2 linked regions of the Elephas maximus indicus genome follow. The protein of the gene in region 1 purifies or fractionates together with the protein of each later gene. This does not show direct contact. Links are inferred from orthologs where the notes say so. Each region holds a gene or a part of one and is shown on either strand. Other genes may lie near its edges.

What was found.
Region 2: the proteins of AGO3 (region 1) and TNRC6A purify together in Homo sapiens (affinity purification with mass spectrometry; 7 studies listed by BioGRID and IntAct, with this or other methods). This does not show direct contact. The link is inferred for Elephas maximus indicus from reciprocal best matches to the Homo sapiens genes AGO3 and TNRC6A.

Annotation. Positions count from the first base shown.
Region 1 is NC_064821.1:77,286,574-77,294,393, reverse strand, and holds the start of AGO3 (protein argonaute-3), read right to left. Parts: upstream 3,102-7,820; 5' UTR 2,535-3,101; coding exon 2,516-2,534; intron 1-2,515.
Region 2 is NC_064830.1:84,785,063-84,792,752, reverse strand, and holds the start of TNRC6A (trinucleotide repeat-containing gene 6A protein), read right to left. Parts: upstream 3,065-7,690; 5' UTR 2,677-3,064; intron 1-2,676.

The sequences.
Region 1 (7,820 bases):
AGACACTGAACTACTGGTTACTATTATTATTCAAAAACGAACAACGCCAGATATTTTGGCTAAATCAAAATTCAGACAGTACTAAATCAGTGAATAGTAGAGAACACCCTTAAAAATCACTTAAATTTTATTTCATGCAAAAGGGAAGAACAGACAAATATTAATATTTAGTGAGCAACATTTCCAAAAAAGTTACACAGTATATGTATTTGAAGTCCTTTAACGTAAATAAGTTTTCTATGTGCCCACACGATTAGGATTTAAAACATCCTGTCATGATTCCTGAGAACCTCCACACAAAACAAAAACTTATAACAGAAAGAGCCAAGATCCAATATTGACCAATAGACTATTAAAGCACATTTATATCTAAAAGTTTTTAAACCAAAATATATAACATATCTGTCAAATTCTTGATATAAAACTTAGTTGCACATTTTTTCCTAACTATGCTTTCAATTTCATGTGCAGCGTAACGATTATATTTAAATCTCTGGGAAAATGAAAATTTTGTTTTTTGCTAACGACAATCCTGAACTAAGCTATAAAGCTTATCTTAATTATTATAGTCCTGTCATGTATAAACCCCATTAAGATGTCCAAGCATATATATAGTTTTGATACATCTAACTATACCTGCCCATATGTGAAGACAGTTAAATGAGTAAGTATTTCAGCAATGGCACACACACACACACAAAACTTATCTACAGCTCAAGAATTCGTAAGAACATTTACCCAGTTGTACTTCGGCTAGTTGTAATAGCTGGCTAAGGCATTGTGAATTCAGAAGTATTTACTCTAAATTGTTGCCCATATATTTGGGCATAATTTCACATGAAAAACCCAAAGGTGAGGGGCGGAGAGAAACAGAAAATAATTTTTTTTTATATATCTTTAAAAGTTTTGGTATGATTATTATGATTAATAACTAAATGTTTAACTTTCATGTTTTGTTTTCCAGCTTTACAACAAGATTAACCAACCAGTTAACCAACTGCTGCCAAGTCAACTCCAACTCATGGTGATCCCATGTGTGTCAGAGTAGAACTGTGCTCCACAGGGTTTTCAATGGTTGATTTTATGAAATAGTTCACCAGGCTTTCTAACAAGATGCCTCTGAGTGGTCTCAAACCTCCAACCTTTCAATTAGCAGCCATTAACCATCTGTATCACCCAGGGGCTTCTATGAGAGAAAATTATGTAAAATAGCCCCAAATCATTGCACCTTTTATACAGTAAGAACAAAGAGCATGGTAGAAATTTCAAAACCAGGGCAGCTTCTGAAATACATGAATTAATAATAAAAGTGTCTCAAAGCTCTTCACAATCTAGGCAAACTTTCCATTTTTAAAAGGATGTGGAAGCTGATTTTAGAAAATTCCATGTAATAAAACTTGTAATAAACCTCCTCTCCATTTCACTCCCCCAATTTCTGAGTGCTTTTTGCATCTAATTGACAATTATACTCCTTATCAACAAAATTCTTTATATCATATTGAGGTACCTCTCAAACTGGCAAAAGAAAATGTGAAATTCAGAGACTCATAATACCATTTGTAACAAGATGTCCCCCCCCCAAAATTTTTTTTTCTTAAATTAGTTTATAAATTTGTGACCATCGGGATGAGGCATACATCCAAATTTAACATACCAAGCATCATCATTTGATGAACAAACGGTTATGTAACAGCTATTCTATGTCCCTCAAGTAATTACTTTAGAACCACACCATGTTTTTTGTTTTTTTTTTCTTTAAAAGAACTGCCCACATCGCAATTTTTTTCAAGACTGCTGTTTTCCCCAGGAGAGAAAGCAGTTTTCCTAAATTCCAAATTCCCAGGAAAATGAAAACTGCTTCTCTAGGGTACAGAGAATGGAAAAATATATATATTTTCAGTAATTTTAAGATCCACCTCCTCACATAAGCAGTGATCCAGGCTGATATGACATCTCCAAGCTACTCAGAACTATACACCACGCTGCCACAAGCATTAACAGATAACTAGGGGATGGAAGAAATGCCATCTTAAATTTGACGTTGCACCTAATACCTACTTCAAACATTTTTCCTCCGTTATCTCAATGTATCTTCACAACTACCTCAAGAGATAGGTAAGGGAGGTGGCTCGCCACCCAGAGACTGAACGGGACACACAACCCAGTTAGAGGACACGGACACCGTTACTTCTTCAACTATAAAAACAAAACCGATGGCAAACCGTTCCTGACTCGAGAACGAGTATTCCACAAAAAATGAGTAATATCGCCTAAACAACAATGAACTTAAATCTTTTAAGCACAGTTTCCCCTCCAGGCAGTTTAGCTAACTCAGTGGCCGCCGGAGAACTGCGGCGCGGATGCGGAGAGGCCGGGCGTGGGGGCGGGAAGAGGGACGACGCCCGGAGGGTGCCCACCTCGCGCACCTGGGCCGGGGTGGAAGGAGCGACGATGCTCGGCTCCGGGGACAACAGCTGGGTGACACCCCCACCGACCGTGCCCGGCCCAGACTCACCTGCGGAGCCGATTTCCATTCATGGAGCTGGGGGGAGTGCTCCGAGTGAGAAAAGCGCCCACCACTGGGGGCAAGGAGGCGGCGCGGGGGGCGACGCGGCGCGACAGACACCCTCACTCGGCCCCGGGACGGGGGCGGCGACTGCGCCTCCTCAGCAATTGCACTCCGAAAGCTCGCGTTAGGAAGAGCCGCCGTCGGGAAACCACACAGGACTAAACCAGAGGAAGGAGAGGTATGAGGCGAAAAAGGGGAGCCCGGTCCGGAACTTGCGTCGCCCTTGACTGCTTACGCTCCCACTGCTCCTCCACGACTGCCGTGCCACCGACCTCCCCCGGGGGACGCCCCCGGAAGCCCGCTGGCGTCAGTTCCGCTGCCCCGGCTCGCCCGACGTCGAAGCTTCGCCTCTCCGCCCCAAGCCGTGCGAGAGCGACGTCGGTGCGGGCGCGGCCGGCGCGGAGGACGCAGAGGAGGCGTCCGGGAGCGGGCGCGGAGCCTGGGCGGAGCCTCGGCCCGGGAGGAGAGCGGGGCGGGGCCGGCCCATCAGCGGTTCTCCGCTGGTCGTGCCGGCCGGAGACAACCCCGAGGGACGGGGCTCTTCGCGCGACCTTGCTGGGGGCGGGGCCTGCCAGAGGCGACGTCGCGGATGGCGGCGGAGCTTACCTGGGGAGGAGCCTACCTGAAAGCTAGGCCTGTCCAAGTAAAGGATCCGGACCTGCAGCTGAGACTGAGGCCCCCCCGGTTGAGCACGTTTGGTCCGTCCCTCCCCGCCCCCTAGTTTGGGCTGCCTCAAGTGCCTCCCCCTCAACAAGAGGTCAAGTGACCCGCACAATTGATTATCTCCCAAATCGGTAGGGTTGCTTTAACGACTTTTGGAAAAAGGTGATTAAGGAACAGGACATTACACAAACATCGGATCGAATAATTTCCACGTTTAAAACTCCTTAATACCGCCTTGACACTGAGAAAATCCAAACTCCTTTCCAGGGCCAAAACGCACTCCGTTAAGGGGCCCCTGCCTTTCTCTCCAAGTAAGGCTCTCCCTGATCATTTTACTACAGCTACACTGTTCAGCTTCTGATTCCCTTAACCGGCAAAGCATTTTGCTTTTCCGTCTAGGAGCCTGCTTTTGGTGCACTTGGCCAGGAACCTTCTCCTCCTTTCTCGCTTCCTTTCCAGTCAGCCCTCCTGCCCCCTCCTCCCCACCCTCAATTTAAGGCATTTTAGAGAGGCCTTCTCGGACCACTCAGCTATGTTAGGACGCTCCCTGTTATTCTATCTCAACACTTTCTTGGTAGCCCTTATTTCAATCTAATTATTTCACTAGTTTGTGTGGCCCCTTCCCACTACAGTGCAAGCCTCATAAGGAAACCAGAGCCAGCACACTGGCAAATATTTGTTGCCTGAATGAAACATGATACCATTTTATTTAGGCTGATTCATGGTTTTTTCCTACATCCCTAAATATCAAAAGATTTAGACTTTTTTTTTTTTTAATCAAAATACATTTTCTCAAAGCTTGAGAAGATGAAGGAGAAAAAATATCTTCAGTTCCCTCCACTCAACTGTGGGACTTTGAATCAGTCACTTGATGTTTTTGGGCTTCAGTTTCCTCATCTGAAAAAATGGAAAGAATATGTACCTTACACAGTTGTTGTGAGGTTTGGGAATATACATAAAGCACAGAGAAAACCCTCCCTAAATGTTAGTGGATACCCATAATATTTACTATAGTTATGATTTCTAAGCACTTATCAGATGTACCTACCATACGGTAAACAATAAGGGGATGGGATTCAAACCCACATCTGTCTGACTCCAATTGTGCTTCACTTTCTTCTTCCTTCCCACCTCTACCTCTGTGAAAGATAATGCCCTACCCAAATTTGAAAATTTCAAATCTGTCACCAGATGAAACTGTATCTGAAAAGTTTTTGAATCCTTGACTGTACACAACCCAAGTTGTGGTAGCAGCATCTGTCAGGGTAAATACCAACTCCTGTGTAAGGGTCTATCATACCCTCTATCCCCCATTCTGGATCTAGTTCTCTGATTCCAGGCCTTTTCATCCTCTAGAGGAGACATGGTGATAAAACGTGGAGGTGGCCACTATCTTCTTTTCTGACACTGATGGAGGGTTTGGATTTAATAAATATTTATGATGCCTTCCCATCTACTTCTGCTATCCAGAAACTCCTCCTCTTTAGACTAAGCCAACGTTAAAAGCTTATGAATAGTAATATTGGGAAGTGGGAAGGCAAAGAGGTTTGAATGATTCTATCAAAGGCAAAGCTGAATTAGGCACTCCCTTTAAGTAGCCCCCCACACACAATTTTTGGATAACCTCATTCTCAACTGAGCTGCTCATAAGGGTAGAATCTTTGTGTATCTGGCTCACTACCATAGCCCCAGTTCCTAGAACTGGGTCAGTGCCTGGCAAACAGCAGGATCAGTAAATATTTGCTGGATGGATAGATGGATAAATAAATAAATGTGCTACAAGTACGGGGCTCTGGAAGCAGGCTAGAACTCTGCCTTTATGCCTTGTGTATAAAGAAATATTAAAAAAAAAAAAAAAAAAAAACCACGTTGCTGTCGAGTCAATTCTGACTCATAGCAATGCTATAGGACAGGGTAGAACTGCCCCACAGGGTTTCCAAGGAGCGCCTGGTCGACTCAAATTGCCAACCTTTTGGTTAGCACCCATGGCATTTAACCACTACGCCACCAGGGTTTCCACAGAAATCTTAGGAGCATGGAAATCAGTGCCCTCTGAAAGTTGTGCTGCCTCAGCAGCCACCAAAACACCCAATGCAAAATTTCTTAAAATATGATTAAGAAAACACAAACTAGGAAAAAAAAAAAAAAGGCAACAAATCTGACTGAAATTAATAGACTGCACAGCAAAACTTAAAACTTCTGCTCTTTAAAATGAAATGAAAAGGCAAGCCACAGATTGGGAGAAAATATTTGCAAAATATATATCCAAAAAAGGACTTGTATCTAGAATTTACAAAGAACCCTTACAACTCAGTAATAAGACAACTCAATTTAAAAATGAGCAAAAAATATGAACCCTTTACTAAAGAAGATACCTGGATAGCACATGAAAAGTTGATCTCTATCATTGCTCATTAGGAAAAAGCAAAATGAGCTATAAAACACCCAGTATACTCAGGAAAGAAAAGATGGCCAGCAGCCTGCTTTAACTGTTGGTACGAACCCAAGCCCAGCAAATCAGGCTAAGGGACTCACAGTGCCTGGTCTTCTTCCTTGCTACCAGTAATATTTCCCTTCACTTAGGACTTTTGTATTCCTAGCTTCCTGTGTTAGACAAGAATCATCATTACTGGATGAGGAGAGCAAATGGATAGAGTCCTTTCCTCTCACATGGGCTGGGGTACACCCAACTTGGCACCTGAGTTCAAATCTCATCACCTGAACCAGCACCTTCTATAAGGCAAAAAGAAAGCTACTTTGTACTTTTCCCCAAGTGCAGCACGACACAATATAAAACATAGGGACTTTAGGCGTAGACAGAACTGAGACTGAAGGTCCTCTGCTACTAGATGGAATTTTGGGAAAGTCACTGATCCTCTCTGAGACTCATGTTCTTTATTTGTAAAAATCAGAGCACCTACCTAGAACAGACACTGCTGGATGCATGCCAAACAGCCCTTACCCCCTTATTTCTTGCCAGTACACTAGACTTTCTAGTCCATATGACCCAGGGGGAAACTCCTGGTTAATTTAAGTCACTGATAATGGTCTTTGCCAATGACAGGAATGGGCAGATGACCAATTTCTAACAAATGAGACATAAGGTCAAATCTGCTGGGGCTTCTTGAGAAAGGTTTCCCTGCTTTTAAATGGGACAGTGGGGAAAATTAGTGCCTCTTCGGCTAAACATTGTCTAGAATTACGGCAGCCATCTAGGGATGAGTTGAACTAGCATGAGGATAAGCCAACACAGAGAATAGCGAGCAAAACAACTGCAAGAACCTGATTCCTTGATGTTATAATTGAATCAATTAACCAATATGGTAGCCATCTTAAATCAGGACTTCTTAAACAAAATGAGTTTCCTTACTTAAACCAGTTAAATTGAGATTTTGTTATATGCAATTTAAGGCAAAGTAACCAATAAACTATGCATGACAATGCAGTTAAATAAGACAAAAAACTGTACAAAACACTTAGGTACTTCAGGTACCCAAACTCCTCTTTTCCAGTCCATTCCCATTAACAGTCAGTAGCCCTTTTCCAAAAACCTGGCTGGGAGCCTCACTGCCTCTTTTAACAGAAAACTTCCTTGTCTTTGGAAGGTGGGGGGAGAGGGACTGCAGGCTTCCCAGAAAGGTCCCTCTATATTACTTTGTCTTCCCAAAACATTGCCAAGTGGATGGTGAAGCTGCTGCAGTCCAAAACAAGAGCAGGACAGTGTGTTAATGCAGCATAAGCTACAGTAGCCTAAAAGACTTTGATGTGGTCTCTTAGTTATCTAGTGCTGCTGTAACAGAAATATCACAAGTGGATGGCTTTAATGAACAGAAATTTATTTTCTCACAGTTTAGATGGCTAGAAGTCCGAATTCAGAGCACCGGCTCTAGGGAAAGTCCTTCTCTCTCTGTTGGCTCTGGAGGAAGGTCCTTGTCTCTTTAGCTTCTGCTTCTTGGTTCTTTGGAGACTTCCATGTGTCTTGGCATCTATCTTACCCCATCTCTGCTCTTTTATATCTCAAAAGAGATTGACTCATTAATCCTTCCTCATTAACATAGCCAAAATAATCCATTCACAAATAGGATTATAACCACAGGCACAGAGGTTAGGATTTACAACACATATTTTGGGAGGACATAATTTAACCCATAACACTCCATCGTTTGGCCCCCCAAAATTCATGTCCTTGCCACAGAACAAATTTACCCCATCACATCATCCCAAAAGTCTTAAATCAACTCCAAGTTCAAAACCTCATCTTCTGAATCATCTAAATCTAATATGGGTAAGACTTTAGGCATATTCCATCCTGGGGCAAAATTCTTCATCATCTCTGGATCTGTGAACTCTTAATGGCAGCCCTATACTCTGAAATCAAGTTGGCAAAGATCAACTCTGAAACCAAGGAGGTTGTGGCCCCACCCTTTGAGATCCAGGAAACCATGGCCCTACCCTTTAAAATTGAGAAGGCCCTGCTTCCCATGCTCCTTCCAACAGTTCTGCTGATCTCTGAGTTACTCCAGGGATAGTCCTTTTCTTTTCTTGGAAGACAACAGATGTAGCTCTTTCGGCCTGTTCCCTCCCTGTA
Region 2 (7,690 bases), on another chromosome or scaffold:
GGGCTTCCCCTCTCAGGTGCCTTTGGATCTCAGCTGTCATATATGAGCAGAAGGCTACGCTAGCCTGCTAGATATGGAAACACATGGAGACACATCATTTCAATGCCCCTGCTTATCAGCAGACAAGTGAATGAGGCCATCTAAGATCAACCAGCCCCCAGCCAACCTGCTAACTGACTAGCCACATGAGTGAACCCAGGCAAGAACAGATGTACTGCCCAGATGATTCCAGCTGAAATTGCCAAGTCGCAGAACAATGAGCTATAAATGATCGTTGTTTTAAACCACTAAGTTTTGGAGTGGTCTGTCATACAGCAAAACTAACAGATACACCACTTGAGGAAGTGGTCTTTCCATAGCAAACCAAATCATGCAGCTTTCCCACTTAAAGTATTTAAATGGTTGCTCACTGATGGTGAGATGAAATAAAAATCACTTACGATGGCCTTCAGGGCCCCCGCATATCTGGATAGTTTCCTCTCCTAGTGTGGTCCCACTCACGCTCCGTGCTCAGACACGAGGATTCTTGCTCCTCCTCAAGTGGCCCTGGCCCCTTCTCACCTCAAGGACTTCACACATGCTAGTCCCTCTGTCTGGAATGCTCTTCCTGACTCTTCATCTGGTTGGCTCCTGCTTCTATCTCAGGTCCCAACTTAAATTACATGATCAGAGGCCTGTTTTGACCAATGCTTCCTCCTTCCTCACTAATGTATGTACCCTGTTACATATTCACCCACCCATTTAAAACAAAAACAAAAACACTGCCATCAAATTGATTCCAAGTCATATATTTAAAGCAAAAACCCATTGCCATCGACTGGATTCCAACTCATAGCGACACTAAGACAGAGTAGAATGGCCTCATAGAGTTTCTAAGGCTGTAATCTTTACAGAAGCAGATTGCCACATCTGTCTCCCGCAGTGTGGCTGGTGGGTTCAAACCACCGACCTTTTGGTTAGTAGCCGAGCACTTAACCACTGCACCATCAGGGCTTCTTATATCCTTATTAAAAAAAAAAAAAAACCCGTTGCCGTCGAGTCGATCTGACTCATAGCGATCCTACAGGACAGAGTAGAACTGCCTCATAGGGTTTCCAAGGAGCACCTAGTGGATTCGAACTCTCGACCTTTTTGTTAGCAGCTGTAGCTCTTAACCACTACGCCACCAGTGCTCCTATATTCTCATAATACCTTATTATTTCCTGTCATAGAAAGTACCCCAACTTGAAATAACATATCATCTTGTGTGATGATTTGTTTAATAGCTACCTTCGCTAAAATTGCAAACTCCATGGGAGTGGGGGTGTCTCTGATTTATTTACAAATATGACCCCAAACCTTGCACAGTACCTGTTACTTAGTAACTGTTGGATAGCTATCTTGTGAGGCAGTTTACCACAGTGGTTAACTGTGCAGGCTCTGGAGAAAAACTCTCTGGGTTCAAATCCTAGCTCTGCCATTTACTAGCTGAGTGACCTTAAGCAAGTGACATAATGTCTCTGTGTCTCAGTTTCCCCACCTCTAAAAAGGGTACAATAATAGCACCTATTCATTGTGTTGTTGGGCAGATTTTGCTCAATAATTGTTACCTATTTCCTGCCGAATAGATGTCAGCATGCCAACATAATGGTCAACCAGCAGCTTCTGATATCACCAGTCTCTCCTTCCTTGGTGGCTATAGACACTACTGTGACTCCATTTACATTCAGCTTTCCCATGGCCAGTTTTCCAGCCAACGCTCTGCCTTATTCTGCAGAGGTGTGGCCTCAAACTCTGAGCCAGCTCTGCAAGATGCCCCATGACACCTGAGTGAGCCCTAACCACTGAGCACTGGGTTTTGACTTTCTCCCACACAAAGTCAGACATAGGGGAGTGGGGGGTCAGGAAGCACCATTTCCCAACTGCTGTCACTGCCCCCCCTTCACTCACTGGTGCCCCAGTGGAGCTGGGACCTCAGGCCAACAGACATCCAGCTAAGGAACAGTTGTGATGACCCCAAGAAATATATCAATCACCCTCACCACAGACATATCAGGAACTGGGCAATCTACGTGGTCTTAGTGGAAAAACCAAAACGTAGAAGGGACCCGTGCCAATCACCATTGAATCAATTCTGACCCACAGCGACCCTACAGGACAGAGTAGAACTGCCCCATAGGGTTTCCAAGGAGTGCCTGCTAGGTTCAAATTGCTGACCTTTTGGTTAGCAGCCGAGCCCTTAACCACTGAGCCACCAGGGCTCCCTAGAAGGGACAATTAGTACATTTCCAACCACCAAGTCCTTAGAAGCTGATCTTTCAGGCTCTGGACAGGAAGATCATAAGCTATAGGTATCCACAGACAGAAAGCACGGGAGACTAAAAAACAAGAGGAGAGTGGAGAGGGAGGAGAGAGGTAAGAGAGGCTGAGAGGAGAGAGACTCTGAGAAGGGACACTGAGGGGACAGAGGATGGAGGAGAGACTGGCTGGGGAGGGGAGGCGAAGCTCCCTCCACCCAGCGTAGCCAGCACAGCTGTGCCCCCAGGACAGCTGCGTCTGCTCGCCAGGCCGGAGAGCTGCAGCTCCCCTGAGCCGGCACTTGGCTCCCAACGTGCCCAACAAGGGCGCCCTGAGCATGCTAATGAGGCGGTCGAGGTCAGCTCCACACGTAATTGCTCAAAGTGCTCAGTAACTTACCAGGCTGGGAGTCAGTGGGCGGCCAAGGACGGGGCCGGGCTCCTGGAGCCCCCGCAGTGGGGCCTGCTTCCCAGGTACCCGGCGTTCACAGGTTAGTGGCTGCCAGGCGACGGGATTTCCATCTAGTCAGGCACCAACCCGAAGGTAGGGAGAGCCAGACCAAAAGGCAAAGGAGAGGAGGGGAACCTGCTTATGTTTTTGTATTTAAATTGTTTTTGAGCCCACGTAGCCCTGGGAGTCACATGCTGCCTCCAACATCACCGGAGTCATCACATGATACAGGTCCCCCATCATGTGACGAGAAAAAAATCGGCCTAACTCCAGCTCCCACCCCCACCGCCGGCTCCCGGACTGACGGACAAAGTGCTTCTGGGGGAGCCCCCTCCTCCCCAAAAATCCACGATCGAGTGAAAGATGCAGACGGAGACCCCTCGGAGCCCATGCGACGCTAAAATCTTGATGAATACTTAATCCGCCTTTCTCCTCCTAAGCTACTGCGACTTGGAGCAACGCCAGCCTCATTTGAATCCCAGCCTTTGTGAATAACTCAAGTGTCGCCACCGTTGCTCCAGCAATTGCTGGGCGTTTGAGCTCACACCATCCTGCCTCGTTCTGGAAAGCTTGGCTGCCTCCCCTCCCCACAGCTTTCAGGCTCACAGGGCAGCCGGGTGGAGGTGGGGAACGGCAAGAGAAGGGGAGACTGCTCCAGCTGAACCTTCTAGTCCCGCCCCCCCTTTTTTCCCCCAGCTGCAGCAGCAGTCAGGTGGGGCCCCTCTGGCTCTCTGATTAGGCTGTCTCCTTACTTAAGGGAAGGTAGCTTTGCTCTGTCTGCAGAGATCTCTCTCTTCCTCTTCGTGTGTGCGTGTACCTCTGCACGCATTTCTATGTTTTTCTCCTAAATCAGGATACAGTTTAAAAATCTGTTGGCCTTGCTTCCTCCCATTGTGTAACCTCCTTTGCGCATTTATTCATCCACCAAAATAATGAAAAATGAACAGACACTTTTGTGGAGTAGTAGCTACTACGTCCCAGGTCTTGTGCTAGGCACCAAGAAGGAAGAGACAGGGAGGGACGAGGTATTACAGAAATGCAGAAGACAAGATTTCTGGCCTTGAGGTACCTGCTGCCTCTTAGAGGCAGCCGAAAACACACAAACAAACGTAGCAGATGCAAATATCAAAGTCACACAGTCTTGGGTATGCAAAAATGTAAATCCTCTGTTTTTCCGCACTTGAACTTCACTTCCCTAGCCCTCCCTCCCCACCCTGTTCTTCCAGTATACCAAAACCAAACCAAACCCATTGCCATCAAGTCGATTCCAAACTCATAGCGACCCTATAGGACAGAGTAGAACTGCCCCATAGGGTTTCTAAGGAGCACCTGGTCGATTTGAACTGCCAACCCTTTGGTTAGCAGCTGTAGCACTGAACCACTACACCACCAGGGTTTCCTCTGCCCAATATAGGAAACTTAATCTAGTTGCTTTCATCTAAACTCAGTCACCTGGGACATTCTTCTGTGCCTCAGATTTTAAAAAGTCAAATGAAAGATCTTCCCCTCATTACCCTCCTCCTCCCTAGGGTTGATACTAAGCCCTGATGCTCACTTGAATCAACAAACAAGCAAATTGCATGGACCCACTTTCCTTAGAGAGAGGTAGTGAGATTTACTGTCATTTTGCAGCTTCAAGGCCTGTTTGATCAAAGGAGGAAGGTGCTTTGGGAGCAGATGGGCAGCAGTGAAAAGCCCTGTTCCAAATCAGATTGGCTTTCTACAGTCTTCGACAATAAGGGCAGAGAAGGTGTCTGTAGCAGACATAGTTGATTAGTGCTTGAGTACTAATTAGTACCCATGACTGAGTTTACATGGATATGACAGATTAGTTTTCTATGTGAGACAGAATGGGGTCTTAGGGTAGAAATTGGGTTTGGGTATAGACAAAGACGATTTCCATTTTTGCACACCTGAGTTTGTGTGGCTGTGAAATTTGCAATTGCTATATCTCAGCAGGGCAGATTAACCAGTAAGTGCAGTAAACAAAGTACGCACGGGCTTAGTTGTGTTCACTTAACTAATCTGCAGTGCACAATTTCACATGGGTTTCACCCAGGGACTGATCACCCAGTAGGCAAGGTATGCATAGGCTTAGTTGTGCTTACTTACTAGTCTGTAGTACACCCACTGAAATTGTGCAGTACAGATTAGCGTTATTAGTGTTAGGTGCCGTCGAGTCAGTTCCAACCCATAGGTACCTACCATATGTATAACAGAACGAAACACTGCCAGGTCCTGTGCCATCCTCACAATCCTTGCTATACTCCAGCTCACTATTGTAGCCACTGTGTCAATCCACCTCATCGAGGGTCTTCCTCTCTTATGCTGACCCTCCACTTTACCAAGCATGATGTCCTTCTCCAGGAAATGGTCCCTCCTGATAACATGTCCAAAGTATGTAGGGTGAAGTCTTGCCATCCTTGCTTCTAAGGAGCATTCCGGCTGTACTTCCTCCAAGACAGATTTGTTTGTTCCTTTGGCAGTTCATGGTATATTCAATATTCTTCACCAACACCGTAATTCAAAGGCATCAATTCTTCTTTGGTCTTCCTTATTCATTGTCTAGTATTCACATGCATAGGAGGTGACTAAAAGTACCATGGCTTGGGTCAGGCATACCTTAGTTATTAAAGTGACATCTTTGTTTTTTAACACTTTAAAGAAGTCTTTTGCAGCAGATTTGCCCAATGCAATGCATTGTTTGATTTCTTGACTGCTGCCTCCATGGGTGTTGACTGTGAATCCAAGTAAAATGAAGTTCTAAACAATTTTATCTGTTCATCATGATGTTGCTTATTTGTCAAGTTTTGAGGATTTTTGTTTTCGATGTTGAGGTGTAATCCATACTGAAGGCTGTAGTCTTTGATCTTCATCAGTAAGTGCTTCAGGTCTTCGTCATTTTCAGCAAGCAAGGTTGTGTCATCTGCATAACGCAGGTTGTTAATGAGTCTTCCTCCAATCCTGATGCCACATTCTTTTTCATGTAGTTTGGCTTCTCAGATTATTTGCTCAGCGTACGGATTGAATAAGTACGGTGAAAGGATACAACCCTGACACACACATTTCTTGACTTTAAACCACTCAATATCCCCTTGTTCTGTTTGAATGACTGCCTCTTGGTTTAAGTACAGGTTCTTCATGAGCACAATTAAGTGTTCTGGAATGCCCATTCTTTGCAGTGTTATCCATAACTTGTGATGATGTCCTTGATGTCATTTCACAACTCATCTGGTCTTTGATCGTTAGTGTTCAGTCATCAAAAAAAAAAAAAAAAAAGGAGTGAAATGGCATGCATAAACAGGTTAGTAAGTAAGCACAATTAATCGTGTGCTTACCTTGTTTATTGGGTAATCCATCCCTGTATATCTGTTTGTGTTTTTGTTGCCTCCCCTGGACAACATGCACCTCAGGACAGAGGTCTTAAGAATTTCAATAACTCATATTCCTTGCTAACAGAACCCCATAATTGTTCCAACAGCAATGTTTTCAGCCCCAGAGGTGGCTCTATTCTACTATACCAGGGATTGTTTCGGGGGTGGGCATGCCACAGTTCTTGCAAGAAGAGTGAAAGGATTGTCTGCTTGGAGCCTCTGGAAAGAGAGAGGCCTATGAGAAAAAGGTTCTTTTCTTAATTGCCACCTTTTTCCTACTTTGATGTGGTCATGGGAGGCAACCATCATGTGATATGAGGTGAAAAACATCATTGGTGTACTGAGGATGCCAGCTTGCAGAAGAAACATAGGTCCTTGATGGAACTGAGTTACCTAACTGACCCTAGAACTTCTTAGAAAAAAAATGTGTCTTTATGGTTTAAGCCTTGGAGTCCCTGGGTGGTGCAAATGGTTAAGTGCTTGACTACTAACTGAAAGGCTGGGGGTTCAAACCCACCCAGATGTGCCTCAAAAGAAAGGCCTGGGGATCTGGTTCCAAAAGGTTACAGCCATGAAAACCCTATGCAGCACAGTTCTATGCTGACACTCATGGGGTTGCCGTGAGTTGCAATTGACTTGGCAGCAACTGATTTGTTTTTGGTTATGGTGTACCACATTTCCACGCAAATAACGCAGGTTTTCTATGTTTGTTTGCCAACTGTGCCCTCCCCCCACAAGGTATTTTCATAAGCACATTATGTTCGTTTTTTTACAGCAACATGTAAAAAGAATTAACATAGCTGCACTTATGAAAATACCTTGGTGGGGGGAGGGTGTGGTTGGCGAACAAATGTAGAAGGTGCGTATTATTTGCATAAAAATATGGTAAGCCACTTTTAGTCAGGTATTTTATTGCTTGTGGTTGAACACGTATCCTAATTGAAATGGTATCCATGGAATTTGGCAGTTGCCTCCTGCTCATCAGGGGCTTTGGAAGAACGGTTTCCATGGAATTTGAAGTTGTGGAAGTCTGATGATAGTGGTTAAGAAGTAAATTGGAAGATTCTGTTTCTGATAGTATGGAGGACTACATAAAACCAAAAATCAAACCCGTTGCCATCGAGTCTATTCCGACTCAGAGTGACCCTATAGGACAGAGTAGAACTGCCCCATAGGGTTTTAAGGCTGTAATCTTCACGGAAGCAGACTGTCACATCTTTCTACTGCGGAGTGGCTGATAGGTTTAAACTGCCAAACTTTTGTCTGCCCCGTTGATCTATGTCTATCATTACGGCAGCTTTGCACTGTTTTGATTACTGTAGTTTTATGGTAAGTTTTGAAAGCAGGAGGTGTGAATCCGGTAACATGTTCTTTTTAAATATTCTTTTGGCTATTCAGGGACCCTTGAAATTCCATATGAATTTTAGGATGGGTTTTTCTAGTTCTGTGAAAAACTTCATTGGGTTTTGATAGCGATTGCACTGAATCTGTACATCATTTTAAGAAGCCCTGGTGGTGCAGTGGTTAAGTGCTCAGCTGGGAACCAAAAGGTTTTTGGAACACGTTTTAATTTAACCCAATGGTAAAGC